Rhinolophus ferrumequinum: one gene and its partners. The protein of the gene in region 1 interacts with the protein of each later gene in a pairwise test. Links are inferred from orthologs where the notes say so. Each region holds a gene or a part of one and is shown on either strand. Other genes may lie near its edges.

Evidence for each region.
Region 2: the proteins of MIF4GD (region 1) and ATP-dependent RNA helicase DDX19A interact in binary tests that used the Homo sapiens proteins (3 or more experiments, as listed by UniProt). The two-hybrid records come from large-scale screens. The link is inferred for Rhinolophus ferrumequinum from reciprocal best matches to the Homo sapiens genes MIF4GD and DDX19A.
Region 3: the proteins of MIF4GD (region 1) and EIF3G interact in binary tests that used the Homo sapiens proteins (3 or more experiments, as listed by UniProt). The link is inferred for Rhinolophus ferrumequinum from reciprocal best matches to the Homo sapiens genes MIF4GD and EIF3G.
Region 4: the proteins of MIF4GD (region 1) and ATP-dependent RNA helicase DDX19B interact in binary tests that used the Homo sapiens proteins (3 or more experiments, as listed by UniProt). The link is inferred for Rhinolophus ferrumequinum from reciprocal best matches to the Homo sapiens genes MIF4GD and DDX19B.

What each region holds. Positions count from the first base shown.
Region 1 is NC_046304.1:50,290,153-50,298,039, forward strand, and holds the start of MIF4GD (MIF4G domain-containing protein), read right to left. Parts: upstream 3,389-7,887; 5' UTR 3,227-3,388; intron 3,030-3,226; exon of another isoform or gene 2,858-3,029; intron 1,907-2,857; 5' UTR 1,863-1,906; coding exon 1,775-1,862; intron 908-1,774; coding exon 798-907; intron 540-797; coding exon 384-539; intron 296-383; coding exon 203-295; intron 1-202. Other genes in the region: SLC25A19 (mitochondrial thiamine pyrophosphate carrier), read right to left, coding at 5,522-5,704, 7,832-7,887. UniProt on the Homo sapiens protein: Functions in replication-dependent translation of histone mRNAs which differ from other eukaryotic mRNAs in that they do not end with a poly-A tail but a stem-loop. May participate in circularizing those mRNAs specifically enhancing their translation.
Region 2 is NC_046298.1:21,991,912-21,999,538, forward strand, and holds the start of ATP-dependent RNA helicase DDX19A, read right to left. Parts: upstream 3,228-7,627; 5' UTR 3,107-3,227; coding exon 3,050-3,106; intron 272-3,049; coding exon 223-271; intron 1-222. UniProt on the Homo sapiens protein: ATP-dependent RNA helicase involved in mRNA export from the nucleus.
Region 3 is NC_046301.1:40,042,178-40,050,490, reverse strand, and holds the start of EIF3G (eukaryotic translation initiation factor 3 subunit G), read right to left. Parts: upstream 3,344-8,313; 5' UTR 3,260-3,343; coding exon 3,240-3,259; intron 3,092-3,239; coding exon 3,045-3,091; intron 2,535-3,044; coding exon 2,451-2,534; intron 2,341-2,450; coding exon 2,252-2,340; intron 2,151-2,251; coding exon 2,091-2,150; intron 1,275-2,090; coding exon 1,170-1,274; intron 1,075-1,169; coding exon 885-1,074; intron 2-884; coding exon 1-1. UniProt on the Homo sapiens protein: RNA-binding component of the eukaryotic translation initiation factor 3 (eIF-3) complex, which is required for several steps in the initiation of protein synthesis.
Region 4 is NC_046298.1:22,020,522-22,028,520, forward strand, and holds the start of ATP-dependent RNA helicase DDX19B, read right to left. Parts: upstream 3,373-7,999; 5' UTR 3,228-3,372; coding exon 3,171-3,227; intron 1-3,170. UniProt on the Homo sapiens protein: ATP-dependent RNA helicase involved in mRNA export from the nucleus.

The DNA of each region.
Region 1 (7,887 bases):
TCAGGGCGCTCACCATTCCTGTCACAGGTTGGCTCTCCCACTGGGAAGGAAGCCTCTGAGCCAGTAGGTTTTTGCCGCTCTGCTGTGGATAAATTCCAGACCTAGCAGCTTGTCCTGTTAACTGACAGGCTTTAACTGCCCCCACCAGGCTCCTGCCCCAGGAAGTGATGACCTCGAAAGCCTCCATGCCAGGGCCACCCACCTCCTCCTCCTTGCTCAGACTGTCCGGCTGGGCCAGCCGGAAGAGGCAGTCATAGACGGGGTTCACCAGGGCCATCATGGGCATGTTGTTCACCTGTGGGGGAGAACGGGCCAGAGCACCGGCTTAGTAGCCTTGGGAGACGGGCTGTCTCTGCCACACAGGATGGCTGCTGGGGCCTCACCCTCAAGTAGTCAAAGATGTTGCAGATAAAGGTGACATAGCAGACCCAGCCCTGCAGGGAGCGGGCTCGCAGCTGCTCCCGAGCTTGATACTCCTGCTGCAGCCGGTTGAGGAGTCCACGCCGGAAGACACTCTGGCCTGCCTGCTTGCTCTCTGCCTATGAACCAGGGAAAGGATGGCGAGTGGCGGGGAGCAGTGCCGTCGCAACCCCAACCTGAGCTTCCATGGCTGAGGACCCTCGTGGCTTACTTCTCTGTCTGCCTTTGGCGGAAGCCCTTTGCATCTCCGCCCTGCTGGCCAGGCTTCTGCCCACTCCTGAAGCTCCTTCCTCAAAGCATCTCCCCCTTTCTCTCCCAACCCCACCCGACCCGGATGATGGCTCAGCGTCTCCCCTCCTCTCCCAACCCCACCCAACCTGGATGATGGCGTAGCACATGCGTCCTGCTTCCTTGCTGAACACACAGTCCTGCAGAGAATGATCCACAATCACATCGGCCACTTTCTCCAAGTTCACGGCACCTGGATCTGCGTAAAGATAGGCAGGCAGTCTCGATCTGCTTAATTATCACATTTGCCTCCGCCCGCTCCTAAGGATTGGAGATGTTTACACAAGAGTGCACCCGTTATATGCTCACGTTCAAAGCGTCCAGAACACACACGGAGAAGTGACCGCACGTAGGAGCTGCTCCAACCATAAGCCTCCCCGTGGCCCACCCAGAGGAAACAGGGGTGGTTACGTGGCTGTCAGAGACTAATCAAAGAATGCTCGTTTTTTAGGACACACATCTCCTAGCACTAGGTTGAGGAAGGAGCACTGAATAACAATGTTTTTGACAGTGGTATCACAGAAGAAAGTTCTCAGTACACACACATGAACCCCTGACATGAGCGGGCCATCCAGGGCCTTCCCACAGGCTTAGCTCGGCGTGTGATGGGCACTGGTAATTGTTGGCTTAGTCAAACTTTGTCCTGAGTGCTGCAGGAAGGCCTTGGTCCAGGACAGGTACTCTGTCTCCTCTTCCAAGCAGAACACTCAACCCTCTGTCCCAAGTCGGGCAGCTCTGCATATTCAAGAGAGTTGGTTGTAGTAACGCAGAACCGGGTCCAATGTAAGGACTTAAGGGACAGGAACTGTGTCCTCTGTGCGCTGCCCTTTCACTGATACTTCTACTTAAAAAAAAGACTTTATGACTTTACATTCTGAGAGGTGACTATGATTCACTCCTAAATCCTGGTCGGAATGTAGCTTGTCTTCCAGTTTGCGAGTTACGTCACTGACTCCTCAGAAACGGAAGGGAGAGGGAGGGCTGGGTATTCCCAGGCTAAGGCTCAGTCCTCCAGTCCTGTTCCCGGGGGCCCAGACCCAGGCTCACGAGGGCTCCCCATGCTCACCTTTGAGTGCTGTCTTCAGCAGCTGCTGGGTCTCTGCATCAAAAGATTGGATTTTATACTCCTCTCTACCAGGCTCCCCCATGACCATCCAGCCCCAGCAGCTCTTTACTGAGGTGGGACTAGTGACAGCACCTGGGGAGGAGGAGAGGTAAAGGGGCATGTCTCAGATGTGGAGACACGTGGGGCTGGGGTTCCAGTCTGCAGACCCTGGGTGGGGCTGGCCAGAGATTGGGACAGGGGCTCCTGGGCTGTCCTTGGCATTTGGTGGTTGGCTGAACACCCAAGCTTGGCTTCTGCTGGAGACTGGGGACCAGCCGGGCACCTGCTGCACAGTTTAGGATCCCCTGTAACTTCTGGGATTACACAAGAGTAAAGAGATGAAGGGTGAAATCTGCCAGTCCCAGTAGTAGGCAGGGTTATTCTCAGCTAATACCAAGGGTGGGGTGGGGTGCGCTGGGCTGGGCGTGTACATAGGTGGATGTTAGATACCGCCCTGCCTGTGGAAGCCGGCCTGGAAGCTGCTGGCCCAGCACAATTCCCGACCAGTGAGAGGGCTGGGGGCTCCAAGCTAAGCACCGCCGTCCCAGCAGGCTTCCAAGCCCCTCTCCTTAACCCTCTCGCTCAGCTTTGGTCCGAGTCCTCAGTCCACAAGACCCACCCTTGGGGTTGGGGCCGGTCTGCGTGAGTGGGAGCAGGAGCCTCCTCTGCGGCCTTAACGGTTGGGAGCCCGAACTCCCCTGTCCTGGCTGGCTTCTCTCAGGGACGGACTGGTTAAACTGGCCTCCCGAGTGGCAGAAACCCGGCCCTGCCCACTCAGGACTCCCAATTCCTGGGCTCCATTCTAGATCCTTCCTCTTAAAGAGGGGAGCGGGATGGAGAGTCCCCCAGAGGTATTCCCCGTTGGAGGCACCTCTCCGAACTCGGTGCCTCCCCCCGGTCAAAGGAGACAACGACCTGAGAGGTCTCCAGACCTGGGCAGCTTCCCTAACCCCGGAACGCCCTCCCCGCGGCGCAGGGCCGGCAGCGAAGGCCGCCGTCCGGTGTCCCGCGGAAGGCAGAGGCGGCGTGAGCGCCGACACCCACCTGCCGGGTCGGCACTGCGCCCGCGTGCCCGGAGGCCGTTCGGCGGGCATGGTGCGCGCGCCCCGCGTCCACGGCGTAGCTGGTGCGACCAGTCGCGCCTCGCCTCAGCTTAGGTCATTTCCTAGAGCGGCGCCAGCGCGCGGCCTGGGGCGGGCCTGGGACGGGGTGGGGGCGGGGCCCGGGGCGGGGCGGGGGCGGGGCCGCTCCCGGCGGGTCGGAGGCGGAGCCGCCTCTCCAGCGCCACCTGCTGGAGCCCCGGCGGCGCTGCTCTCTTCGCCGGGTCCGCCCCGAGGTTCCTGGCGTGGGGCCGAAGCGGGGCCGAGCGCGAAGTGCGCGACACTGTTCCCCCTGCCCCTGTCGTTTCCTCACCCGATTCGCCCAGGGCCTGTCCGGGACCACAGTGGCTCGTCGGCGCAGGGTTCCTGTGCCGACAACTCCCGGACCTGCTCCTCCGCTCGCAAGAAGCCCTTGGTCTTATGCGGTGCCACCCCTCCCGCCCCACGCCAGGGGCTCAGGTTAAAACCCCGTCAGGAGGAGACTCGGCCGAACCGCGCGGCGTGGGAGGAGCCTGCGGGGGGCGTGGTTCATACCGGGGCGGCTTAAGGGAGCAAGGGGGGAGGGTAGAGAAGATGGCTAGAGGGGTTAGGACTTCACTAGTGATGGCAGCGTGTCCCCCACTCCCACCGCCCAAGGTAGAGAAGGCATGGGGTGTTGTAAGGACTGGATCAAATCCCACTGACTCCCTCTCGTACTCCAAATACACATAATAATGGTAAAGTAAGTTGAAAATCAATGGGCCAACCCAAGAGAAAGGGTCCCAGTTGCCAACTTGCGACCATGAGGTGTTGGAGTAACCCTGAAGGTGAGCTCGCTCCTGGGTCCGTCTTTCTTGGCTAGGGCTGGAGGAGAGGCGCGGGCCCAACAGCCCAGACAGGGTCATCCCTGGGTAGCAGGAGGACATACATTAGGGGCTGCAAAAGAACTGCCTGCTCCCTTCGCTTAGACGAGAAGTGTGAAGGGTGGTTTCCTGGTGCCAAAGTTCTGTTAAAAGAGCCACCAAAGTGGTCACTAGAAAATGGATGAGAACTCTCAGCTTTAGCAAAAGAAACCAATGAGCGGAGAGATGAAGAAAATAAAGTTTACTTCATAGGAATTTCATAAAAAATACATTCAAGCAGCTGCCTCCGTGCAGCCCAAGCCTCGGCCTTAAGCTCCAAAAAGCTTGTGAGCGTTGGGAGTGCCCTCCAGCCAGTCTGGACCTTCATAGTCAGCAGCCAAGGGCAGGGAAGCTTCAGGATTCAGGTTCCCAGACGTATCACAAAGCCCCAGGCCAGAGCCAAAATAGTAATGATGAGAGAAGGGCCCAGGGTTTCTGGGCAAAGAGAGCCATGACCCACCAGGCCAGCTCCCAGCCGGTGTCTTCTTCCTAAGTCAGAGCACAGGCTACAGCCAGAGCTCAGAGGTCGAAGTCCTGCGTAGAACTCGCGTGCTCTTCCCCACAGGCCAAGCACCCCTCTGGGCTGGGGACAAGTGGATGGAGAGGGTGGGGGCTGTGTTCTGTAGTTCTTCTTCTCTCATACCCCTAACTGAAGTCCTTGTGCCTATATGGATATCTGTTGTGGGTTCCTGTGCTCTGACAACTGCCCTGGGTACCAACTGCGCCCTCAGCAGGCTGTCTGCCCAACCCCTTCCTTCCGCCACCCCCTTCACGGGGCTGCTTCAGAGCTCAGGCTCTTCTGGGGTTATAAAACAGACACAGTGCCATGCTGAGCTGAGAACGCTGAGCGGGCAGCTGATGCCAACTGGCCCAGCTGTAAGTTCCCACTCACCTGTGGGGTAAAGGAGCCATCCCAGGTAGACTGGAGAAAAGGGCTGCTGCCTTTACCCACCTCTTGTCCTCCACAAAGACCCCTGCTTCCTGCGAGGCTGCTGGTATCTACCTCCCCTAGAGCCTGGGCTGCGTCCAGTCCTGCGTCCAGTCCTGCCTAGGCACAGGAGAGCCTGAGTGGTACATCTACAGACACGCAGGTCTGGACATGGAGGGTTAGAAAGTGACCCATGCAGCTTAGATTCCTTCCCCAGAACTAGAAGCAAAGCTGCCTGTGGGATGCAACTCCTCAGAAAAGTGGAATTTAAGAAAGGCTGAGATTCCTTCCCTCGTGCTTTGTGAGGAGGGATGTGACTTGGAAGCGAAGATGGAGGAATAATGTAAGGAATGTGCTTTTAGCTTTAATGTCTATTAAATAAGTTGGTGGGAATCAGAGCCCAGATGTGGGGACCAGACCCCTGCCAAGGGCTGAGTCCCCGCCCTCCCACTCAAACTGCAGCTCCCCCAGAGCCAGGAGAGCTCTTGGCGCAGAGGGCTAGAAAGTGCGGGACAGCAGCTGCTGGCAGAGTAAGGGCCTGGCAGAGGAGAAACTCTGAACTCCTTGTGACTGGAATGGCTGGGATCCCACAGACCCAGTCTGCAGTCCCCCCGCCCTTCCAGTGGCATCCAAGCTGGTGGGATCAAGGCTGCAGCCCCGCTCCCATGCTCAGGACAGCTGGCTTGGACGAATGGACCAGGCAGCACCTCTCTGTGCAACACAAGATTGTAGATCAAGTCTTACTTCTTCCAAGAGGTCGCCTCGAGTGAAACCTCAGGCCACCTTGTGGCCATCAAGGCTAGCTGTCTGCCTTCTTCATGTGGTGGAAGAGGTCACAGAAGAACTCATACCAGAAGAACACGAAGCCAGTGGACAGGGCAGCCTTCAGCAGGCTGGGGGACAGGCCCTTGAAGAAGCCCTGTGCACCTTCCTCCCGCAGCACCTGCTTGGCACAATCCATGAGGCCCTTATAGCTTCGAACCTGGGGAGAGGAAGGTGACTCTGGTTGAGAAGAGAGGTGATTACAACATGGATGTTGGCTCTATTCTTTTGTCTACACCAGGGGTGTCCAAACTGCGGCCCACGATCCATTGTTAATTGGCCTGCAGCAAATTCCAAAAATATATTTAGTTTACTTAAATAAACCAGGTGAGGCAATACGTACTTCACCTCGAGTGAGTGGCCCGGCTGTGTGTGTATTTTACCGCATATGGCCCTTGGTGAAAAACGTTGAAAACAGTTTGGACACCCCTGATCTACACAATGCCTGGAACATCCTAGCTCCCAATAAATACTTGCTGGATGAAGGAATGAATACAAAAAAGAGGGAACAAATGAACCATTCTTTCTCTTCTGAGTGGGCTAATTCAGACTTAAGAGTTGAACTGCCTGGAAATCAGCACTGGACAGAGCTCCTTCCTGCCCAGTGGATTCCCATTGACTGGCTCTTGAGAACTCAGTGAGAGCTCTGGACACATTTCCTAGAGATGCCTCTGACCCTTCACCCATCCCTCCTGGGCAGTAGATCTGAATTGGCCCTCATTAGCTCTTAGCCTGACTAGTGCCACGCCTCCAGCCTGGCCTTCCCAGTCTGTTGCAAGGAACAACTCTGCTCAAGCCTGGTTCCCTTCCAAAAGGTCCAGTAACTCCTGATGACGACGATGATGATGATGGTGACATTATATAGAACCAAGTCCAAGCTCTGCAGCCCGGTGTTCATGTGGCCTCAACTTCCCTCCCTGACCTGCACTTTTCCCCCACTGGCCCCCCACGGCCCTTTCCACCTCCAGCCACACCGGCCCACACTGGTCTCCGGGAGGAGCAGGGCCTCCCCCCTCTGTCCGGGGCTCTCACCAACTCTCCCTCTCCAATTCAAACCGTCCCTTCAGAACCAGTTGGTAAACGGAAAAAGGTTATGAAACCTTGTCCACAACCCCATTTTTGTTAAAATATACATGTGAGGGGTGGCCAGTTAGCTCAGTTGGTTAGAGCGTGGTGCTGATAACACCAAGGTGGCTGGTTTGATATCCACATGGGCCGCTGTGAGCTGTGACCTCCTTAAAAAAAGAAATATATATATATATATGTACATATATATATACACAATTATGTATATATATATATACATATACATATGTCGTTTCATTTCTTTGCATAAACTCATACACGAGTCTATGCAAAGAAATGAAACTACAGCCAAAAGTTCTGTGATTATCTCTGGGTGGGTGGTGTTGGAGTTACATGTGCTTTTTATCTTTCTTTCTAGCTTCTTGTCTGTCTTTTTGTCTTTCTTTTGTCTGATTTCTCTAAAGTCTTCTACAGAGAAACTGTATTACAACTATAAACCCAATTCTTTCTCTTCCTCCGAGCCAGGCGTGCTCCCTCCCTTCCTCTGCCGTCCCTCTTTTGACACCTGTCAGGCACCTTTCTTCATGCCTTGTCATCCCAGGTTCACAGCTTCTGGAGGGGAAATCCCTGGAATGACCCACCCTTGCCTCAACCCCACCCACTACTGACTACCACTGTGGCCTTTCGCAAAATGAGTGCTCCAGGAGTGGGTGAAAATCCAATGTGTAAAAATCTAAACAGACTAAGGAATGACTATTAACGTTAGAAAACTACCTACAACGGGGCTTCTCTGAATGATAAACCCTTCTACTGCATTTAAAATATAATTTTGTTGATCAAATTTAATGCACCCTTTCCAGGAACACCTATAGCACAAAGCAAAGACCCCAGGCACCAGTGTGAGTCTCCTTCTCCGTGTTCTTTGATATGTTAGAGACCTTTCTTATGTGAGTATTCTCTTCAAATGGGACGAGTATTCGTCCCAAACTGAACTTAACACTTTTTTTTTTTTTTTTTTATCCCCACCCCGAACTTGACACTTTTTAAGAGCAGACACAGGGAATTCTCCTCCGCCTGGATCTTTCCACAGTGCCTAATATACACAGGGCTTTGCGTGGAGCTTTCCCATGTGCTCGGGGCTCCCCAGGGACAGGCTGGAGGTGAAAGCATGATGGGCGCTAATGGGGAGGAGCTGACTCCTGTTCCTTCATGTGCCCCGTGAGAGGCAAGGATCAGAGCTGTTTGCAGGGGGACAGCTCACCTGGCCAAAGGTGACTCGGGCCTGCTCAAACCCTCTGACCTGCAGCCGCTTCTTGA
Region 2 (7,627 bases), on another chromosome or scaffold:
GTACAATCCAATAATGATTCTTGATTTTAAAGAGTCACAAGCTAGATAAAATCTGGAAAAATATATCCCCTTCTGTGTGAAACTGACTTTACTGGCTGTCAAATCCAATGCTGACATTTGCCAAACATGCTAAATGAAAGCTCCTTTGCACACTGCAGCTAAGAGTGCAAAATTGAAGCAAACTTGTAGCTTGTATCCAGTTTACAGTTACTAGTGACTCACCATTGGTATCTGGTTTGACTTTCTCTTCCTTGATCTGCAAATTACTGATCTGAAAAGAAATTTAAAAACACTTGAGAGCAAGCCACAGGATAACATAATACCATGAATTATTTATTAAGTTAATGTACACAAGTCTATGTGGTAAAATAAAATGGGGGTGGGGGAGGGTTTTCTCCAACTGTGAAGAAGCAATGTTTTAAAACATTTAATTACACCACCCTTCTGATAAGCAGATTGGTTAGAACCAGGTACCAAGTATGTTAAGGCCTACGTTTGTGACATATCACAGCTAGATTAGATCATAGGTTTAAAAAGTTTTGAAACCAATTCTTGGTAATTATCTTTTAGGGAAGATCTGATGCTAAACATTAGATTGTAAACTCTAGAGTGCCAGAACCATATACTAGATAATACCTTTTGATTTCTTTGTGGACAACTGCCAGTTTTATACATCTGACCTGATTTCTTCTCCAGAACTCCAGTACCACATTTCCAAATGTCTAATGGGTGCTGTGCAGAAAAGAGTTAACAGAGCAAGGCTGACTACTATCCTTAGGAAAGCCAGCTTGCAAGGTTGGCCCTTGGCTGGCATCTGGGAATATGGATTTTGAGAGGGCTCCCACCATTCTCAGAAATTCTGAGGGGGTCCCTATGCTTGTAAAAACATGTGGTTCATGTTAAGACCTGCTTTTCTTTTGGGAATCTGGAATTTGGGTATAGGCTCAGCCGAGGATGACTATGTAACAGGCCCCTCAACAAAAACTCTGAGCACTGAGTGTCTAATGAGCTTTCCTGACAACACTTGATGTATTGTTACAATCTATTGCAGGAGGAATTAAGCACACATTAAGTGGAGCATGTGACTTATCATCTTTTTTCTTTCAAGATTTTTTCTTTGTCTTTGATTTTCTACAACATACATAATTAAACATATTTACATTTTTAGCAATTATCTTGTTTGCTGTTTTCAAAGCATCCTAGATCTGTGTTTTGGCATCTGCCATTAATTTTGCATAGTTATTGGCCAATATAGCTTCCACTATTTCTTTTACTGTCCTCTCTTCTCTTTCTAGTGCACCCTTTTACTTTTAGCATACGCTTTTCATTCTTTCTTAGATTTGGAAGAGGATTTAGAAGCTTGCGCCTGGTTTTCTCAGGACTTTGCTCCATGAGCCCATGTCTTTTGCTAATTTTGCTTTGTAGTTTTTCATTGAATAAATCATAGCTGTGAGTACCATTATATGCTGAGTCCGTGAGTTCTCCTAGGAAATTATCAAACTTGGAAAACTCTTCAGAACTCCCAACACAGGTATTTACCAAGATGTCCTCTTTACCTCAAATTTGGAACAGTCAAAAGTAAACTCACTATTTTCCATATCAGAACTGCCCTTCTTCCCACTCTCCTAGTCCTATTATTAGGATCCAATTGAAAACAGTATCTTTGCCTTCCTCTCCCTTCTATTTTCTAAATCTTTTCTATTATACTTCCACAATTATCTCTTAAATCCAATCTTCACTTTTACCACCCAACATATGACTTCTATCTGGGCTATTGGCATCATTTCCACACTGATCTCCTTTCCTTTGGATACTATTCATTCCTTCTAATATATTATGTTCTCTGTAGTCCAACAAATCTTGCCAGCACTCCATCTAATTTTGTTAATATCCTTAAAAATCCCCAAACCAACCAAATAAAGCCTCTCCTCTTAAAGTTTTTAGTTAAGGTCCAAAAATATACTCCCTACAATATTTTCTATACTGCTTCTACTACAACCCAGTAACTCAGCAAAAATTAGTTATGATTCCTGTTCTCTAAGCAAGTGCAGCACTTTTATGCATTCTATTTTCCTAAAATGCCTTTCACCTCCATCTCTACCTTAAATGACTCATTCTCTAATATCCAGTTCAAATGTAAATTACTTGAAAAGGAATTTCCTACTCATTAATGTCTTCTCCCTTGTCCGAGTTCAGTTATCATTCTTCTTACCATTTTCACAGCACTTTCCACTTTCTAGCCTTCCTAACTAGACTGTAAAGTTTCTTCCTATTCTCCAAGGAATTAAGCCCATTTCAAATATCTGCTGACAAACTGACAATTCTCCCAACGCAATAAAGGGTGACTGGAGAAGAATGTAATTTAGGTATTAAAAAGTTATTTAAGATTTCAGACTACAAAAACAAAACAACCAAAAAAAAAAAAACCCACCAAAAAAACAAACTGTATTCCTAAAATCAAGTCCATTATCACTAAACAAATCTAAACTTAGACACAAAAACAGAAAGTTACAGTTTAATTATAATTATATTCCAGTTGAATGGATCTTCATTTATCAAAGAAGAACCAGTTTACGAAACTAAATGTTACTTTAAACATCAATGAAACAATTTGTCGTGCCTCTCGCCAATATTTGCAGTAGACTAAAATATATATAAACCTGAATCTGTTATTCTGCAAAGAGCTACAAACTGCCAACCACTTTAAGCATGGATCTAAAAAAAATGTTAAAATAAGCACAGAATCGTTCAGAAAACAGATGAGAAAGAATCAGCATCTAAACGCCTTTCCTTACAATCCCCACAGAAATGGAGATGCAGTACAGGAAAAGACAGCCTATGTAACGGGGTCAGATTTGCCACAGGATAAAAGTCTCTAACAGGCCCAGATGAAGAAAAAGGCTCGATATTGGTCTCTCTAGGCGCACATCAGGGCTGATTCCCCGGTGGGCCCCGGGCCTGCCCCACCTGTGGGGCTCCCTGGATTCGAAAGCGGGTCCACTTGGCCCGCCACCGCCCCTTCTCCCCGCCCGGAGCTGAAGACACTGACCGACTTGACAGCCGCTTCCTGTTCGTCCACTGCCAGGGCCCACGAGTCGGTGGCCATGGTCCCAAGGGAGGGAGTCCGACTCGCGAAAAAAAGTACCGCACCGCACGCCAACACTTGCCCCGGTTCCCCCGCTTGCGCGAGACCGACACTCTCGCGGACCGGAAGCGGCGGTGAGAAAAGTGACGTCAGCTCCTGCCTGGCGCGAGACGTCACCATTTCGCGCCGCGCCGCCTCCCAGCCTGGCAGCCTCTCGTCAGGCGCGCGCTCGAAGCTTCTGTGGGTTTCCTGAGGCGCGCAGCCTCTTCGTTCCTCAAAATCTCCAAGCCGTGCGTAGTGAAGCTCTTAGCTCTCACTTTGCCATGCTTCACACTGAAGTTTTATTCTTAAACCTGCCTCGTCTCAAATGTGTCTCTGAACTCTAAAGCCTTACACAAAAGAAAGTCCCGTGAGAATACCACGTGGTGCCAGTTTCTACTCTTAACGTGACAACAGGTAAGACGACAAGAAACAAAACATAACCAAAAGCCCTTAAACCCGCTTTCCCATAATTCCACCAGTCCAAAAAATACAGCAGCGTTTCTTGTTTTCCTTCTGGGTCCTTCCGGTCATTGTCCATACACATCATAGCACGGGTATTTTACATAGTCCTAAACAAAGTATATATACAATTTAACATTTGACCTTATTATACGGCTAAGTGTTTTTTAATGTCATAATTATCAATTTAAAAACATTATAATAGTCCAAGCTCATATCACATAAATTGCCTAACTCCCCAACTCCTAGCCCCTTGGGGATATCAGTTGTTTCTGATGTTTTATCATCAGTTGATACCTCAGTGAGCATCTTCACACCACCAAAAATCATCTTGTTTGTCGCCAGTTTGCTTTTTGTCTCCCCACTACAATATGAACTCGAAACAAAAGCAAAGACCTTAAATATCTTGGTTACACAGCTGGTTAGTGAACCTAGAAAAGTTCATGGCACATAGTAGACTCAATAAATATCTTTTAATGTATATGTGTATGAATAGACTAACAGATTTTAGTTCAAAATGTATCCCTCTAGGACACATTTCTAATCATTGCAACATTTATGTCAAAATGTATGACTGACTTGAATACTTGACAAAAGAGGATAGTCAGGACATGGAAGGAGTTCGAAATCATTAGTTATTAAGAAAATGCAACCAAAGTCACAATGAGATACCACAGTACACCCGTTTGAATGGCTAAAATTAAAAATTGACCCACCATGTGTTAATAAGGATATGGAATGTTAAAAAATTATTCAACGACGTTTGTTAAAGATGGTAGGGAAGACTATTCAGGACCATTGCAATAGGTATAGGGATCATTGCAATGGGATGTTTGCAGTGGGGGGAAGAGCTTGGGCTCACTTTAAACATCAATGGGCAAGTGGGAATTTATAGCCAAGGAGGCAGGAGGTGGTATGAGTGGATGAACAATTACTAGGAGGAAACATTAGGGGCGTTCTGGTAACCAGCCTAACACAATTCTTGCTGAAGACAACCCAGAGTGATCAGACATCAAAGGAAGGGGATGGTGGAAGATGAAGAACATGATCAGATACTAAGGGTGATCAGATATCAAGGGTTCTTGCTAAAACATACAAGGAAGTGCACAGATTGGCCTAGCAGAAGGCTCAAGAGCCTGACTAAAGTTTGGCCAAGCAAAGAAACTTTGTCAGGAGCAACTGGAACTCATAGGCTTCTGGAAAGAATGTAAAATGGCACAATGGTTTTGTTGTATAACTTTTTGGCAGTTTCTCAAGTTAAGCATGCACCTACCCTTTGATCCAGCATTTCTACTACTACTTATTATCCAAGAGAAATGAAATATATGTCCACAAAAAGATTATACAAATGTTCATAGCAGATTTACTCAAAATAGCCCCAAACTGGAAACAACACAAGTGTCCATCAACAGAATGGATAAACAAATTATGGCATATTTATTCTACGGAATACTACTGAGCAATAAAATGGAACAGACTACTGATAAACGAGATGAAATACATTAATCTTACAAATATGTTGAAGGAAGAAGCCAGACACAAGAGATGCATACTGTATGAGCCATTATATGAGATTCAAGAATAGGAAAAACGAAATCGATACTGATAAAAATTAACAATGGTTGCCTCTGGAGGGGGGAAGTTTGGGCAGGAGACAAGGGAAATTCCTGGAGTGATAGAAATGTTCTCTATACTTGATTGAAGTCCTGTTACATAGATGTATAAATTTGTTAAAACTGTATACCTCGTTTTACTAGGTTTCACTTTATTGTGCTTCACAGGTGTTGCGTTTTTTACAAACTGAAGGCAAGACACTCCATTAGCAAAAAGACGACTACTTGCTTTGTTGCAATACTCGCTTTTATCACAGTGGTCGGGAACTGAACCTGCAGTATCTCTGAAGTATTCCTGTATTTGCTTTACTGTGGTGGTCTGGAACCGAACCCACAATATCTCCAAGGTATGCCTGTATTTTAAACGTCATTTTATTTTATATAAATCACCCCTCAATAACATTGATTTAAAGAGCAAAAGAAAAGGAATGAACTACTGATACATGCAACAACACAAATGAGAGATTTGCCATCGCATTATGTTGAGTGTAAGATTCCAGACATGAAAAAAATATATGGTACATGATTCCATTTACATAAGTTAAAAAGAGATATTTATAGTGATAGAAATCAGAACAGTGGTTGCCTGGGGATGGGCTGGGGTGAGCAGGATTGATTGGAAGGGCACAAAGGAACTTTAAGGGCTGATGAATGTTCTGTATCTTAATTAGAGTGGTAGTTACACATGTGTATACAATTGTCAAAACTCATGGAATTGTACACCTAATATCTGTGCATTGCACTCTACATATATGTCAGTTAAAAAGAAAACAGACAATGCAATGTAATTTAAAAAATCGAAGTTTAAAAAATACAGGTAGTAATAAGTCTATCTGTACTGTATAAAAAGGGAGGAAGGATAAGAATATTTTCTCAGCTCTTAATCACTCATTAAAACAGGGCATGCACACACTATGCTACAGAAGTGAGAATGCCAAACACCATACTGTCTTCCCAAAGGACTAGTCTAGTTCCCAGCATCCTCAGCACCAATGAGCTACTGCTTGGAGGCTACATTGTTTTTTGGGAGATAGCACCATGGCCTAACTCCTTGTTGGGCAGCAACCCTAGGGGACACTGCAGATTGGTTTTCTGAGGAATAATGCTCTTGTCTTACTTTTGTAGCAATCACTTTTTTAAAAAAGATAAAAAACTAGATGTTGAGGCATCTCACCCTCTTACTCTTTAACTCAACCATCTACACAGCAAAGCTTTCCATAAAAATCAAAAGCAGCAGCACTAAAAGACTCAATTGTAAGTCCTTTGTGGCAGAGGTCATTAGAGCAAAAATTGAAGTCTGGGTGCCCACTGGGTGCCCTATATCAATTGCTATTTCATTACAAAGTGCAGCTGCTCTAGCACTCATATGATGATGCCTACATTGCTTCCACTGAAACACAATTCCTAGAGCTAAACATAGTCACCTGGGGAATTGAGGATAGGATTTTTGCTTGCATTGGATTTGTAGGGCATTTGCTGGAATTTCTTTTTATTTATTTCACTGCCTGCACCTATTAGAAGACTCATTGGCATTTGTTTAATCTAGGTGAGTGCTCTCAGGGAAGACTCATTGGCATTTGTTTAATCTAGCTGAGGCTCCAACTGGAACACTGAAACCAGCCCGTCTGTTTGGAGCAGCTCCGGGCAATAGGGCACGCTCTACTAGGGCTACCACTCCCTCCCCCTCAGCTAATGTTTCTATTCCAAAAGGCGGGTATCCAGCCAGAAGCCAGTGAGAATCGCACTCCTCTCCAGACCAAGACACGGGAAGGGCACATTCTCCTGAAGCTGCGGACTAGATAAACACCCTCCTGTCCTAATTCGGATTCGGTTAGACTGAAAAGATAAAAAAGAGTTAACATTTTTTTAATGCATCCTACACGATTTACTTGAATCACCCCCCATTTAATTCTCACAACTTTCCTACTTTATCTCCATTGTACAAATAAGGAAATTGAGGTTCAGAGAAGTTGACTTCGGCAAGATCAAATGGCCTAGTAAGTGGCAAATCTAATATTTGTATTCAGGGCAACCCACTTCCAGGAACTAATGGGTGACAAAACCAAAACCAAGGGCAGAATAAAGGCTTTCCTGGGACCTGGGACTTAACTTTTAACTTTTGGTTAAGAGCCCAGCTGGCCTCTGATTGGCTGAGGCAGGTGAGCCAACCAATCATCAGAGTGCAATAGCTTTTCCCAGGGTACTTTGTACTTGGCTGTTTTGGCCTGAATCTCTGCTGAGATGCTGATTGGATGAACTTGAACTGCGACTTGTTGACTTGTAACAGGATGATTTCATCATCACTCAACTGTGAGTCCGGTGAGCAAAGGCCTTACTTGTTTTGCTCACCATTGGCTCCCCATCACCTCATCCATTGTAAAAGCACATTAAACATCTGTTGAATTAGGGAATGATGAATCAATAAATG
Region 3 (8,313 bases), on another chromosome or scaffold:
TCTGGAAACCAAAAGCACAGTCAGGGCAGGACTCACCCTGGCACAGCGGAGGGACAGACCCACCCACGATGCCAGCAGTTCCAGCCTGACATAGCCTGGGCACCAGCTGTCAAAGCCACAAGGATCTGGTTGGTCCCTCAGAGGCCTGGTGGCCATGATCACATAAAGCTCACACCTAGGAAGCCAGCAGCGCAGGAAGAGCAAAAGGCATGAGGGTTGATTGGGTCTGAAGTGCCTACAAGGCTGAGAGCTGAGGAATACTCAGCCTACTCTCACCACAGAGCAACATGGGGCAGGGAAAAGCCCCAGGGGACACACGGCAGGTGACAAGCACGCCGCACCCAAAAGTCAGATGTAGAGCTGTCTGGACTCAAACTTACCCTCAGCAAATCACGCTGAAGGACAAGGACCGCAGACAGTCAGCTGTGTGTCTGCTCGCAGGTGTGTGTGCACAGAAGCACACACGGGGCAGCCGCCGCACCATGGCAGACAGACACGGCACACTCACGTCAGACCATCTCCAGTCCGCAGCAAAATCACTGCAGGCATGTCTCACTCACGGGGTCGCCGTCTCCCCACTCCTCCCGGTGAGGTACACAGGCATGCACACAAGCAGGTCTCACAGCCCCCGACAAGGAGACAGGTGACATCACCAGCCGTCACAACACCCACCCGGCCGGTCTCTCACACACACACAAACACAGACTGTAGCCCACAGGCTTTGCGGAGCTGACACTGTGGTGTGGGAACAACAGCTACGATGGACAGCCCGTTCAGAGAGAGCAGGTGACAGACCAGGACTCTCCAGAAGGGCACACAGCCTCCCCCTCCACCATGGTCCCCATGCAGCACGGCCTGCCAGCCGCACCCCCAGCCCCCGGCACCTCCAGGCAGCTTCTCCTTCTCGCCAGTAGACAGGCCCAGCTGCTCGGCCAGCTCCTTCTGCATGGGCCCCAGCGTGTCCTTGTAAGGGCAGCGGGTGGTCCAGTGGTCGCCCTTGCAGATGCGGCAGGACACGATCTTCTGGCCCTTGAGCTTATTCATCGGGTCCTCCTCCTCTTGGCAGTTCAGATCCTGACAGGATGGACAAGGGCAGCTCAGAGGAGGGCTGCTGCACCCCTGCCACCAAGAGCCTGGCCAGCACCTTCCCGCCCTATTGCCTCATTTACCTCTTTGCTGGTGATGAAAGTCATGGACACATCATCGCTGACCGTGGTGGTGGCCACATTAGGCCCTGGTAGGTCAAACTCTGAGTTCCCAAACTTCTTCCAGTTCTGGGCTCAGGGCAGGGTGGGGACAGGTCAGGGCAAGAGCAGGTAGGACCACCGCCCCCTGGTACCCAGACCTGCAACAGCGCCCTTCAGGGTGACTGAGCCTTAAACCCCATTCTCCACCCTCTCCAAATGCCCCCTATAGCAGTGACGATGACAGTTCCTATTTCCTGAGTGAGTGCCAGGCTTCACGCCAGCTCCAGGAGGCAGGGGCAGTTCTCACCCCATATTCCAGATGAGAGAACAGAGGCTCAGGGAAACACCTGCACAGCCAACAGCTCCTGGGGGGGCTGTGCAGGTGGTGGCCCAGCTGCCACCAGGGAGTAATGCTCAGGAGTATGCAGGGGTCATCCAAACTTCGGGGGCCTTGGGCTAAACAACCTGGGCCTCAGCTTCCTCTCCTATAAAATGGGGATCACAAATGCTCCCCACCTCCCTGGGTTGCTATGGGGATCAAAATGAGAAAACACTTCCCACAGGGCATTTGGCATGGGGTCTGGCACACAGTGTGCAGATAACTGTGCCAAATGGATTTATTGCTACCACTTCCACTGCTATGACCACCTCAGGGGAACGTTTAGCTTTGTTCCTCCTGGTAGACAAGTCAAGAAGCATAAGAAGCTACCCAACCACTCCTGCAACTTGGACTGTTTGGGGCCTCAACAGAGTACAAACACTCCTCGCCTCAATTCTCCTCCAATAAAATCGGTTAAACTCTTAGACCTCACTTCTGAAAATAAAGGCACTGGGAAAAAGGATTCTTAATTCCTCTGAGTTAGCCCTGGGGTAAGCCCCCAAGACAAGGGAGCAGGGTCTCACCTTCCTCCTTGCAACAGCCTTTGAAGCCTTCCGGGTCTCAATTCTGAAGGTGCGGACAATCTGTGGATGGGAGAGGAGAGGAGAGGAGACATTTGGGCTTCCTGTCCTCAAGGCTCCTGGGCCCAAGGACCCGCCTGACACACCCCTGCTCCCAGCCTCACCTTGAACTTTTTGCCATCCTCATCTATCTTGTACTCAGTCACTGTCTTGATGTTTCCATTGATGACCTCCTTAGGAGACGGAAGTGGAGCTGGATGAAGGGAGAAGGGGAGAGGAACTGAGCCACGGGTAATGGGGTCCCCGCGGAAATGTGGCTGGGGAGAGAGGCAGCCCAGGCATGGAGTGGAGGTCATCACTCACCTCCTGGCAGTAGCTCAGGCTCTGGGCTGGTGTCGCCAGTGGCCAGAGGTATCCCCTTGAGGAGTTCGCTGGTGACACATTTGTCTGTGAGAGGGAGTGTGGGGAGGAGAAGTGAGGTGAAGGGGCGGGAGCTCCCAAGCTGAATGAAATACAGGGACCTTTAGGATGATGCCCACGCCAGGACCTGAAGAAGGTGGGACCGGGGGCAGAGGGCTGGCCAGGAAGTACCCAGGGACAGCTGTGCGGGGACACTGAGCTGGCTGTAGTGACCCAGAGCAATGGCAAGGATAGGGGGCCGCCTGGCATAAAGGCAGGGAGGGGCAGGCCATCAAAGCATCCGGGCGCTGGTACAAAGGCAGAAGGCAGGCTGTTACAACTTCCTCCTGAGTAGGGGAGCGGCTATGAGGGCTTGGGCTGTGAGGCCTGGGGAGGAAGAGGGACTGGCCAGTGAACATCTGGAATTGGCGACAGGCTGGCGCAGATAGGGATGGCGCGGGGCAGAGGCTGGCCGTGGGGGGCGATGCGGGGTCGGCCGGCGGTGCCAAGGTAGAGGGCTAGAGCAGGCGCAGTGACCGGACGACCTGGCGTACTCACCGTCCTCTCCTTCCTCCTCCACCTGGTCGGCCCAGCTGGGCTTCGAACTGCGGGGACAAGTTTGTGGGAGCAAAGGGGTGAGCCAGCGAGGCGAGGCTCCCGCGGCCTCCGCGTACCCAGGCCCCAGAAAACCCCCGAGGACCCTTAAGGCACCTTCCGCCCCCACACCCCACCTTCTGGCGACCCTCGACTCACTCAAAGTCTCCAGTCGGCATCGCAAAACCTCCACGCAGCCCAAGCCTGGGCCAAAGACAGGAAGTGAGGGAAAACTGAAACTTCCGTTGCCGCGGCCTAGAACAGCCCGGCCGCGGGGCCCACAGCGCCCCTTGCGGACGGAGGGGGAGGCGCCAGTTGTGTGAGCTGCTACGCGCTAGTACCCAAGTAGGAGCAGAAGCGTTATCTCAGGGCTTATCCCTTTACCTTTTTGTTTTTAATTGTTAATTATACCTCAGTAAAAAAATAATAAAGTAAAATAATTAATAATAACAATTATGCCAACTCATTAAGCGCTTGCTGTGTGCTAGGCACTGTGAGGAGAAAATTATCATTTCCATTTTGCAGCTGAAAAAAGCAAGGCTGGTCTTCCTCGTCTCCAAAGCACTTCCTGATTCAGATGCTCAAGATGTCAAGTGGCGCCCTCAAGCACTCTCCTTTCTTTCCTTTGTAAATTCTTGGCTCTCTGATATAATCTTTAACACTTACTTGTTTATTGTACAGCTCTCCCTTTAAAGCATGCATTCTCAATGGGAGCGATATGGCTCCCAAGGGGACCAAAATTAATTCGGGTGGGGGGCAAAAATCCTTAAAAATTACAATGGCTTGTGGCCTTCCAAAACCAACCCTCTCAGACAAAATCTTATTACTAAGTATTTAATTTCTGTCATTAGGGAGAAATTAAATGCAATTAAATTGAAATTGATTGACTTACATTAAATTTAAAGACAATTCCATCCTTTTCCTTTACAAGGGTGATAATGAAAAAAGTTTCATTATGTGAAACACTGTTGTAGAATGTCAGCTGCAGAAAGCAGACATTTGCCTACTTTGTTCACCTGTGGGTCCCCAGCACCCACAGGGTGACTGCATGTAGTAAGTGCTCAATTAATGGGCATTTAGGGGGGCAGAGTGGGAATCAGATCATAAAGGACTTTTTAAACCAAACTGAAGAGTGTAGTCTCTTTATCCTGTAGGCAGTGGGTATGGGTGAGATCACTGACATGTTTTTTGTTTTTTAATTCTTATTGGGGAATATTGGGGAACAGTGTGTTTTTCAAGGACCCATCAGTCATTGTCCTTCAATCTAGTTGTGGAGGGCGCAGCTCAGCTCCACGTCCAGTTGCTGTTTTCAATCTTAGTTGCAAGGGGCACAGCCCACCATCCCATAGGGGAATTGAACCAGCAACCCTGTTGTTCAGAGCTTGCACTCGAACCAACTGAGCCATCCAGCCACCCCAGAGATCACTGACATGTTTTGAGAGGTGACCCAGTATGACCAGATTTTTTTGTGAGAAAGATTATTTTGGAAGCCTATAGAGGGTAAAGTAGAAAAGAATGAATTAGCAAGAGACCAGGAAGGAGACTGGGAAAGTGAGTGAAAGAAAGAGGGTGGTCTGGAAATAAGGATGAAAATATAAAGTTTGTACGAAGGGCCAATAAACATTTGTGCACTTACTCAAATTTACTCCAAGAAATGCAAAATACAAACAACGTAGCAGATGGGCAAAACTTTAAAAATGTGATGTTACCCAAAGGTAGCAAAGATGTAGAGAAACAGAGGCTTGTACCTTTTGTTGGTATGTGAAATTATGCAAACTTTTTGGAGGGAAATTTGACATATACTAAAACTTGAAATGCACAGATGTATTTTCCTTTGAGCCACCTAGTAATTTGAACTGTGAGAAAAACTTGTAAATGTTTGCAAAGATGTGAAAATAAGATACCCGTGCAGGATTGTTCATGATAGCAAAAGTCAGAAACAATTATCTGTCCATTTGGTAGGGCTGGTTAAATAGATTAAAGTATGTTTTTTCCATTATCTATGGAATGCTATGCAGTCTTGAAAGAAGTAGATTCATTTGTGCTCATGTTTTAAAAAATCACGATAAGAGGAGGAAGCAAGATGTAAAGTGGCATATGCTATAGGAACCAATTTGTGTAAATCTTTAATTGTACATAGATATGTAGATATATGCAAACTATTTTCAGAAAAGAAATATCAAACTGTTGCTGAGGGATGCTCTGAGAAAGGCATCAGGGGAGAAAATCTTGTTTTTGGACTTTTCTGCTGTATTTAAAATTTTTTACCATGTGTATGCATATATTATCTTGATTTAAATATAAATATATACATAAATATAAAATTTATTTTATATACTTTATGTATTAATATGTAGTGTTTATGTAATATATGCGCGATGTAACATATAAATGTATTTTACTATGTTTTGTACATCCACTACCTTCCATACCCTCTCCTAGGACTAGCCTAGGAGAGGAAATATACATCCAAGTGCATTAAATTGTAAGGAAGTATCCAGCACAGTGTGGCTTAAAGGATTGAAAAACTGAAAACTATGCAACCATCATGAATAAAGAATTAGCTAAATGTTGCCTCATCCATACAAGCACCACCCCTGGAGAGACACTGTACTGCCCAGAGGACATTAGCCACTAAACATGGATGCTTCTGGGTGTTTCGATTTGGCCTCATCTTTACTTCCATTTTGGTATTTTTCTGCATGGAATACTTTTTCTTAAACATCTAGGATGTATCATTTTTATAAAAAGTCAAGTACTTCCCAAAGAAACGTAAAAGGAGGCCGGAGGAAGCATGGGGCAGTGGGGAGAAGACTGAATCCAAGGGTGGATGGGGGAAAGTCCCAGAGCCCCTCCTCAGTTTCTTCTTGGTGGCACCAACTTTCTTCCTACATCTGGCATCTCCAAAGGACAGCAGCCAGCACAGAGCAAACCCAGCTCTGCAATGTGCTTGAGGAGGGGAGCGAGAGCATGATATGCCGTCCTCTGGAAACTCTGCAGCAGCTTCAGGGGGGTTTGCTATAACTCACAATATGGATTCCACTTCTTGGTGTTCTCCATAAGAAATGGAAACATGTCCACAAAAAGCCATGCGTTAGAATATAGACACGGATTGTTCATAGCAGCTTTATTCACAATGGCCAAAAACCAGGAACAACTTCAATTGGTTCGCTAGAGCTTCCATGACAAAGTACCACAGACTGGGCAGCTTTAACAACAGAAATTTATTGGTCTGTCTACGGTATTGCCACACGCCCAGTCTGAGAACTGGGACTGGAATAGAGGTGGTGCTGATCAGTAGTTGTCTGACGCTGTCCACGTTTTCTATTATAATAGTAGTCACAGATGGCTACATGTGAGTGTAGATAAAGCCTACAAGCACATTACACATGTGCACAATAATGGTCACCGGGGCAATGACAGGGTATTAGAGAAGCTTCCTTGTGACACTGAAAGGAGAAACAAACGCTGACCATTTTGTTTGTTGTGGAATTCACTGTACTTTTTCTACAGCTGGCCTTTTTCTAAAAACTCCAAACATGCTTGAGGGAGAAAAGCAGGTTGCAGATAGATATGTGCAGTAGAATAACATTTATCTTTTTCAAAGACACGGAGAATACTAAGTGTACGGACATGCAGATGTGGTAAGTGCCAAAAACCATGGACAGGAAGGAGACATAGCCACACTCTCATAGTGGCTGCGTCTGGGGGAAAAGTAGGCAGGGATCTGGGAAGTGCACAAGTGTTTCAGATGTGCCTTGAAAGTTATTTTATGAAAAAACCATCTGCTGTGATGGGAAACAGTTTGGCAGTTCCTCAAAAAATTAAACACAGAAATTCCATATGATCCAGCAATCCCACTCCTAGGTATACTCTCAAGATAATTGAAATAGAGGTTATTGGGGCTGTACAGGGAGGAGGGAATGAGGAGGTAGTGTTTAATGGCTCCAGTTTCTGTTTGGGAAGATAAAAATGTTCTGGAAATAGTAGTAATGGTTGTATAATAATGTGAGTGCACTGAATGTCACTGAATGGTACACTTGAAAGGGTTTATATGGTTTAAAAAAACCACCCAAATCCAGCCATGATTCTTGACTGAATAAATTAGATCATTAGGGGTTGCAGAATGATTACCTAAATCTACTATTTCTCCTACATTTATAAACTGCCATTCTATCGGAAATAGAGCGTTCTCCTCATCAGCAGGCACCATCTGGTTATCATCAAATACAGTTCCTTCTGGATAAAGGCTTGCTTTTCTCCCTTTAATGATTTCAAAGTGTGACATTTAATAGTCACCTCAAATGGTAACGAGGCTTTCAGCATCAGTGGATTTCATTAATTAAATGTATGTCAGTTAACTACAATCACTATTCTTATCAATGCTCCAATTCCACCAGGTTTATCTTCCCAGGAAAAGTCTGAACTTGAACTCTGATGGAAGGAAGAACTTCCCTGCAGCCAGCCAAGGAGCAGGAGCTGCTGGAAGTTGTGTCCCCTTCCTTTGCCCCACCCAACCAGAGCAGTGCCCCTCCTGGGTCCACAAGCCTAGCCTGGGCCAGTGGTCTCAGGGTGCATGGAGGTGGGTGTAGCTCACAGCAGCCAGTCACTTGGGCCACCACTAGAACTTCAGCCCTGAGGGACAGCCCATCACCCCGCTGAGCCTCAATGGCTGATTCAGAGCAGGAAACAGACACAATTTCTACTCCTTATGCTAAAGTGAATCATCAAATTATTCTTGATAGCATATTATATATCTGAAACGAAGACCTCAACTATAAAAGTACCCAAAAATAAGGGGATTCAGTAAGTTGGCTAGGTTAAAAAAATACATAATCAATATACAAAGTCAATAATTAATACAAGTCAATAATCTTTCTCTGGACAAAGGACCACTGTTTGGAAAATAACATCCCATTTATATTAGTAAAGCGTTAAATGCCTGAGTCAAGTCAAGAAATTTACAATATATTAAAACTTAAAAATGCTATGAGGGACATAAAAGAATATCTGAATAACCAGAAGGACCAATCCTGTTCTTAGAAGGGAAGACTTGTCATTAAGATGTCAATTTCAAAAAAAAAAAAAGAGAAAGATGTCAATTTCCCCCTGAAGTCTGCAAATTTAATGCAATCCCTACAAAAATACCCACTAGATTTTCAGAGGATGTGCAATTCTAAAGTTTTGACCCAGCCATTCAACTATTAGAAATGTCTCATGGATGTGGATTCAC
Region 4 (7,999 bases), on another chromosome or scaffold:
GAACTTCCACTTATCTTTTTAATCATCTACTCTTAAATGAGTAGACAATTAAGAATTAAACATATTAAAAAAAGACATATGAGAAGTCTTCATCATGAAAAAATAGATATGAAATAGATAAAAGCACCTTATAGAAAACAGACTGTGCAGAGAGAAAGAGAAAAAAACACTAATATTAACATCCTCAAAATGATGAGAGGATATTATAGCCATTAAAGCAACACAGGATATTGTTTGTAAAAAAAAGAACAGTTTTCTTTCAACAAAAGAAAACCGTTAGCTCTTGAAATTAAAGACATGATAGAAATGAAACATGAAATAGGTTATAAAGCAGTTGAGAAAATCTCATTGTGGTGGTGGTTACACCACTGGATACCTTTGTCAAAATTCACAGAACAGGGGTAAATTTTGCTATATATTATACCTCAATAAGTTTGACTTAAAAAAATTAGAGAGCCAGCCCATGAGATCCAACATTCAACTAATAAGAATTCTTGAAACAGGGAATGTAGAAAAAACAATGGGGGAAAAAATCAACAATGAAATTTTCAAGACTATTTCCCATAACAGAGGCCAAGAATTTGCCTGATTGAAACGGACCCACTCAGTGCCCATTAAAATGGATAAAAATAGACCCTTACCAAGACACATCATCATGAATTTTCTGAATACTGGAAATAAACAGAAAATTCTCCAAGCTTAGAAAGGGAAAAACAGGTCACAACAGGAATCAGAATGGTCTCAGACATCTCAACATCAAATACAGAAATCTAAAAGGCAATGGAAAAATGCCTTTAAAATTTGGCAGGAAAATAGCTTCCAACCTACAATTCTACACCCAGCCATACTATTAACCAAATGATAGGGCAAAATAAGATGTTTTAGGAAATGCAACAAAAAAGTTTACTTCCAACACACCTCCAGAAAGCTGATGAATGGCTCCACCAAATCAAGAAAGATGAAGAGAGGGGATAGAGAAAGGAGGGAATACAATACAACAGAAGAGGAGAGAATCCCCAGAATGAAGGCAAAGGGAAATCTGCCCTGTTCCCCTCCATCCCCCAAAATCATTGTGCTTTGAACATAGGGGGAACTAGTTCAATGTGAAGCAGGCTAAAAGACCTGGGAAAAGTGAAATTGATAAAATACTTGCTGTGTCTGCACATCCTGAGATAGACAACTACCGTGTTTCCCCGATAATAAGACCAGGTCTTATACTAATTTTTGCTCCAACAGACGCATTAGGGCTTATGTTCAGGGGATGTCATCCTGAAAAATAATGCTAGGGCTTATTTTCTAGGAAACACAGTAGTAAAACTGGAAGCCAAACAAGTCCGGGGCTCGTGCTGCCTGCGCTGCTCAGCCAACTGACCGACAGAGGAATTGGGTCATAGAATAAGCGTTTATTATCAGAGCACCTGTGGTCTGAGAAGGAAGCGGGTTAACACCTCCAAAAACTACCTTAACATTCTCAGTCCAGTGTGGGTATTTAAAGGAAAATCTGGGTGTTCTTCCAGAGGCTACAGTGATATTCTCTGGTAGAGTCAGGAACCCAAGAACAATGATGGGACTAGACTGGAAAGAATGCTGGACAATTGAGATTGTGATCAATAAGCCTAAGGGTCAGGGTAATTTAAAACAGGGAACTGGGTGGGACAGGGGACATTCTGAGCTCCAGCCACAGGGGGTTGATCTATTATTGTTAGTAAGCTTTAGGTCGGACAAGGAAAGGTGAGGCCAAGGACGGGAGAGGCCCTTACTATGGCGGTGCCAATCGGGCCCTGTTTCATTAGCAAAGAGCTTGGGGTTGAATTTGGTGATAAGTACAGAGAACACAAAGCAAACACACATGACAATTACAAATTCCAAGGAAAAACAAAGTTTTACAGGAAAGTGAAAATATTCATAAATTACTAATATAAACCTGAAATACTGATGTAACTAAAATATAATGAAAAGATAAGGAATGGGAAGGTGTGCTTGTGTGGTGGGATGGAGGAAGGAGTCAAAAATCAAAAAATACCTAGAGCTGCAAATTCAAGAAGTAGCAAAACAAGCATGTTATTTAGGGAACAAGGAGGTCAATATTGTAAATCAGTTTCAAGAGAAACAGCAGTTGTCTCTGGGAAGGAAAAAATTGGTGGTGTTGGTGGGAACCAGTTTTTAAAAGTTTTGACTCTCTGAACTATGTGCATATTACTTATTGTTAGGCCATGTTTAGGCCAAGAGCAGAAACCTGCTTATCCTAAAAGCCATTTCTGTCTTGCTTTGTCTTTTGTACCTGCTGGCTTGTGTTTGTCTCCTAGGGGCTTAGGATCAGCAGGCTTGGGGGCTAGAATGTGGAACCTGAGGGCTTGGTCGTACCCTGAAACCCCCCTGAAGCATTGAAGGGGGAATAGCCTCGTTTACCCCCTCCTATAAAACTCCATACCCCTTTTCACTCAGGGAGTTTATGGTCTTTTCTAGCCTGACCTCCCGCAGCTCAAACATGCCAAATAAATTCTGATAGACCAATTTTGGTCTCCAGAAACTCATTCCTCCAGCCGTGCCTAACACTTATTTTTTATCAGTTATAGAAAATAAGACAAAGTCCTTGTTCTCCAGGAATTCACAGAAATAAGTACTAACAGAAGTTCAAAGCACTATCAGAACTGAGAATGCCTACGTGGGAGAAATTAACTCTAGATAGTAACGTTTAACTCCTTATCTTGCTTACTGGATGTCAGGCCCAGAACAAAGTTAAGCAGATCAAGAGAGGATTTACTGCCTGCCAGACCTACTGAGTGGTTCATTCATCATCACTTAGTAAGCTGAGGAAGCACACAGATCTGTATAACCCATGGTCCCTAAACCCAAGAAGCTCAGAATCGGGAGGTGGAAACTGACACCTACAAAATGGATTACAATCCAGGTTGTTGAGTGCAATCAACCTACGACCAATCGGGATTACAGGAAGACAGGCAGGCTGGGCTCTTTATCCGTGGGAGCACTTAACCGCGCTTACGTAATTTGGGAAGCGGATGGGTAAACAAAGCCAGCTCAGGGTCCAGGCTCCATCCCCTCCCGCACCCCATCCCGGCCCTGACCAGCCCAGGCAGCGTCCTTTCCCAGAGATCTGATCCCCAGCCAAAACTGGCGCTCTGACCCTTTTACAGCTGAAGCCAACTCACCGACTCGGCCGCCGCTTCCTGCTCGTCCACCGCCAGGGCCCACGAGTCGGTGGCCATGGTCCCAGGCGCAGGTGGGACGCTGGTGCTGGCCGACTCGCTGGCTGGCACGGCGCGATCGTGGGCTCCCGGGGGTCGCAGCAAGCCCGGCTTCGGCGCCACCGAGGGGGAAGTCCTACGCTTCGGCGCTGGGGACCGGAAACGGCGCGCCGCAGTGACGTCGGAGGCCGCGCGGGCCCTGACCCTTTTGGGGCTGTCGCTTCTGTCGCCTTCTGACCCCCACCCTCACCCCTGCCTAACTCACGCTTTTTTATCCAACATCCAGAACCGCAGGCTGAGGTAGTTATCTTAAAGGGCCTAAGCTCTAGTGAACGGGCTGTACAGCCCCATTCCCGGAGCCCAGCACAGTGGCACAGAAGCAGCTCACATAGATTGCATACACAGAAACACAAAACCATTACGGGTGTCACCACAACGCACACTGAAACGAGATCTTTTTTTCTCACTTTTCAGGTTGGTGATTTCAAATGTCCTGGTGTGGGCCAGGGTGTTGGAAGTCAGCCCTCTCAGACACTGGTTAAAAATTTGTCCCACAGAGTACGTGGCCACACGACTTAAAGGAATTTCACCTTGAGAAATACTCCAGGAAGGTACTAGGGAAATGTGTTCCAGGTAGAGGATCAGAGACAAGAAAGAGCAGGGATGTTTGTGGAGCTGAACAGACAACTGAATTTCTATAGGGAAATGACAAGAGCCAGGGATGAAGAAGTTGGTAGGTGAATGAGGCTTAATGAGCGGAAGAGTTCACTCCAGGGAACGCCTCCCAATCGGCATGACTTTTGAAGTTAACTGTGCCTAGATCAGAATCCCAGCTCTCCCGTGTAAGGGTTGTGTGACTGGGAAGGTTTTTAAAAAGGCAAAAATACCTTATGCTTTTTAGAAGAGGTGAAAATGGGATTAAGTATGACAGATGCTTTTCTCTAACATTAATCATACAAGCTTCTCTCCTTTTGTTATTTCACTAGAAAGAAGCTGTGCATTTTCATGCAACTTGAAAAATTAATCCCCACATATCTCACTTTGCCAATATTCCACTGTGATAAATTCATTTCAAGCAGTAGTGAGCTCTATGTGGAATTTTACCTGGAGATTATTAGTCAAAATGTTTGGGAAAGGATAAAGCAGCTCCCCTCAATCCTTTACTTGCCATGATTCTTATTCTCCTGCACCCTCTAGGGGTTAATTTAGGGAAGATTTATTTGGAACCTATATAGGTAAGGATTTTGCAAAAAGAAAAAGGAAAATGCCAGCTGGGGAAGCCGTGACCTACATCTCATCATGTCAGAAGCAACCCTGGGAATATTTTTCCAGAGAAATTATACTGATCACAGGGCTAAAGGAAATTAATGGATGTTTTTCAAGTTTAATGAGGTTAAAAAATAAATAAGCCAAGGTGCTAGAATGTATATAATAGAATCCACTTGTGCAAAAACAAAACAAAACAAAGTCACGTATATGTACCTACTATACAAAATGTTTAAGATACACACAAAACTGATAACAGTGGCTGCTGCTTCTAGTGAGGGGCTTCAGAAAATCTGGGGTGGGAGAGACTTCCTTTTTGTTGTGTACACTTTATACTCTGAAATTTATTTTCCATGTGCATGTGAGTATTTCAGACAAATAAGAAAGGTGATAATATAACAAACATCTAGGTTCTCCCCTCAGGGTTTAAGAAATAAAATAAGACTCAAATGAAGTTGCCTGCATAGCTATCCCAAGAGACAGCAGCTCTCCTTTCCATAAATGCCTTTAGCATGTGTTGCTTTTTCTATTTAAAAAAAAAGCTTAAAAATAAGCATCAGGATTCTAGACCCTCCTATGCCACCCCACACCTGCACAATGTGAAACTCCTGTTAAGGAGGAATCTGGTCTCCAAAGTGGAGTGCGGAAAGAGGACTCAGGAATAAGAGCATCTTGGATATCAAGTAGGCCTCCAGCATGTATTCCCACATGACTTTAGGCCACCTCCACCTCCTCTGAAATCACGCTAAGTACCTGTCTCACAGTTCGAGGATTCAATGAGATCACAAGGTTAAGGCCGTTGGTACAGTGCGCAGTCTATAGAGAAGACTCAATACATATTAGCTGTTATTATTAACAGTTAATGGGGTGGGGGCAAGGACGATAACTAAATGTAGAAAAAAAGGTCTCATGTCTACCCTCTAAGAATACTCACGTCTCCCACCGGTAGGGCAAACGGAAAGCGCTCCGGGGCACGATCGCGGACGTGGCCAGCAACCCCAGCCATCGCCCTACTGCATGGCAGTTACCTCCACTAACAGCCGCCCGAGCCTCATTGGCTGAAGCCTGGAAGCCAGTCCCGCCAGCCAATCAACGCACCCAGGTACCTTGGGGCAAATGGACAATTCTAGGCTCCAGCAGGGGGGTGCCTTTGGGTGAGTTCTGTCATTTTTCACTAAATGTAGCTCTCACTGGTTAGGCTGGGAACTCCATGAGGGCAGGGTAGTGTCTGCTTTCTTTAATGCTTATCTTCAGGGACTAACGCATAACAGACACTCATTTGATGAATAAATAGATGGGGAACGAACCCCTCCGCACCCCCTCCCCCATCAAACCTTTTAATCTTTGTCTTTGAACAAACAGATGAAAAACTTCATGCTCCAGTTTCGGCCCTTGCTACTCCAAGTGTGATCCCCCAGCAGCATAGATAACATATCTTGGGAGCCTATTACAAATGTAGAATCTCAGGCCCCACTTCAGACCTACTAAATCAGGATCTCTATTTTAAGATCCCAGCTAATTCCTATAGCACCTTATGATCTGAAAACAATTATTCGGCCAACCCCACTTGATCTGATAGCAAATAAATGAACATTCTAAGTCCATTTTATAGATGCTAAAAGTAGCTTAGGTGCCACGGGAGAGTTAGAACTAGGACTACATCTTTCCAAAACTAAGTATTTTAATTGTACCATCTTGAACCCCTGTTATCTTGCTCATGCCCCAAGGTGAGGTTCTACCAATGTTCTATTGCCAAGCAAGCCATATGTATAGCAATCACTCTTACCAACAGGCCTATTGCTTAGTCCAGAATAATAAGTTTCCTAAAGTATGCAATTTGCATGATGCGTTAAGATAGCTTTCGATTATCAAATATATGGTGATACAAGGAGAACTGACTCTAGGTGGTGCACACAAAATGTGATTTATAGATGATGTAATACAGAATTGTACACCTGAAATCTATGTAACTTTACTAACAATTGTCACCCCAATAAACTTTAATTTAAAAAAATTAAGTATAAACCAGAAAAAAAAAGATAGCTTTCTATTACATAGTTGACATTATCTATGAGAGAAAAATATCATGGAGAACTGGATAATTATCTGAAAAATTCCTGTAGAAAATTCATGTTTGGAAGAATGTGACTTTGGGGCCTCAATTACAGTTTTTCCTCGTATGCCACTGGGTGAATGAAAAAAACAGTTATTTTTAATTTGTCTCAAATTCTTTCATTAGTGAAGGTGCTATCCTAACAGCAACAACTCTGGCAACACAGCAAAATTATTGAGACTACAATCTATATTCTTTTCTTTTACTTTGAAATCACAATTTGTACAATTTTGGCTTTCCATTTTAATTGTGGTGGCACATAAATCTGACCCATTTCTCAGATTGTTTAGGCTAAATATGCCTAACATTTTTGGGCCCATTTGGATCAGAACAAACACTTGTCTCTCTTGGTTTTTGCCTTTAGCTGTCTTAACCTTACTGCCTCAGTTTCCTCAGTGTTAAAAACAATAATAACAGTAACTCATTATAAGGTTGTTATGAGGATCAAAAGCTAAGATCAGTGCCTGCTGCATATGAAGTGCTCAACAAATGTTAGGTGTAATGATAATTATTAATGCGTTGCTGTGAATTGGGAAGTTAATTCAGGTGATTTATTTCTCATTGGCTTTTAAGCTTGATTTTCTATTTAAGTAGGATGCTATTATATTTTACATAAGGAAAGTCAATATTTTTCTGCAATATTTTTAACCCTGTTATGACCAGTAGCTCAATTTTATACCCATGTGTTTTGGACATGTAAGATGATGTAGGTAATAGTGGAATGGGTAAGAGTATGAGGTTTGGAGTTGTTACCGGAGAGGGGGCCCTTCTCGGTGAGATGCTTGGGCTTGGTTTCCACACTGGGGGTCGAACCTGGCAGTGTCCGGGCTTGTCTCTCACACCGAGGGTCAAACCCGGGCCTCGGGGAGGAAAACTGGGAATCCTAGCTGCTACGTTACCAGAGGATGGGTCCTCCTCGGCATGGTGTCCAGGTTCTTGGCATCTGAAGCAAAGAATTGAACGAGACACAGACGTAAAGTGGTGAAATAAGTTTATTAGAAGAGATAGTACACTCCAAAGAATTAGGAGTGGGCTGAGCACAAAGAAAAGCGGCTCAAAGCCCATTGTTAGAAGCAAAAGTACACTCCAAAGGGTTTGGAGCAGGTCCCGAGCAAAAGAAGCTGCTCAAAAGGCTCAAAGGGCTCAAGGGTGGTGGCTCACAGGAGACTAGAGGTTTTGTCTTTTTTTCCTCCAGGATGGGTTGTTCCTCTCCAGGTGTGGGGCCACTTGATTGACACCTGTGATTGATAAGGAGCCATTACCTCATCTTCTTAGACTGTGCATGTCCCTTCCTAGAGTTCAGTCTGTTATAATGATATTAATGAACTACTGGGCATATGTGTGGTATTACAATGATGGTATAATGAGGGTAGGGTGAGATGGAGGTGGTGGCCTTCTACCATGCAGGTGTGAG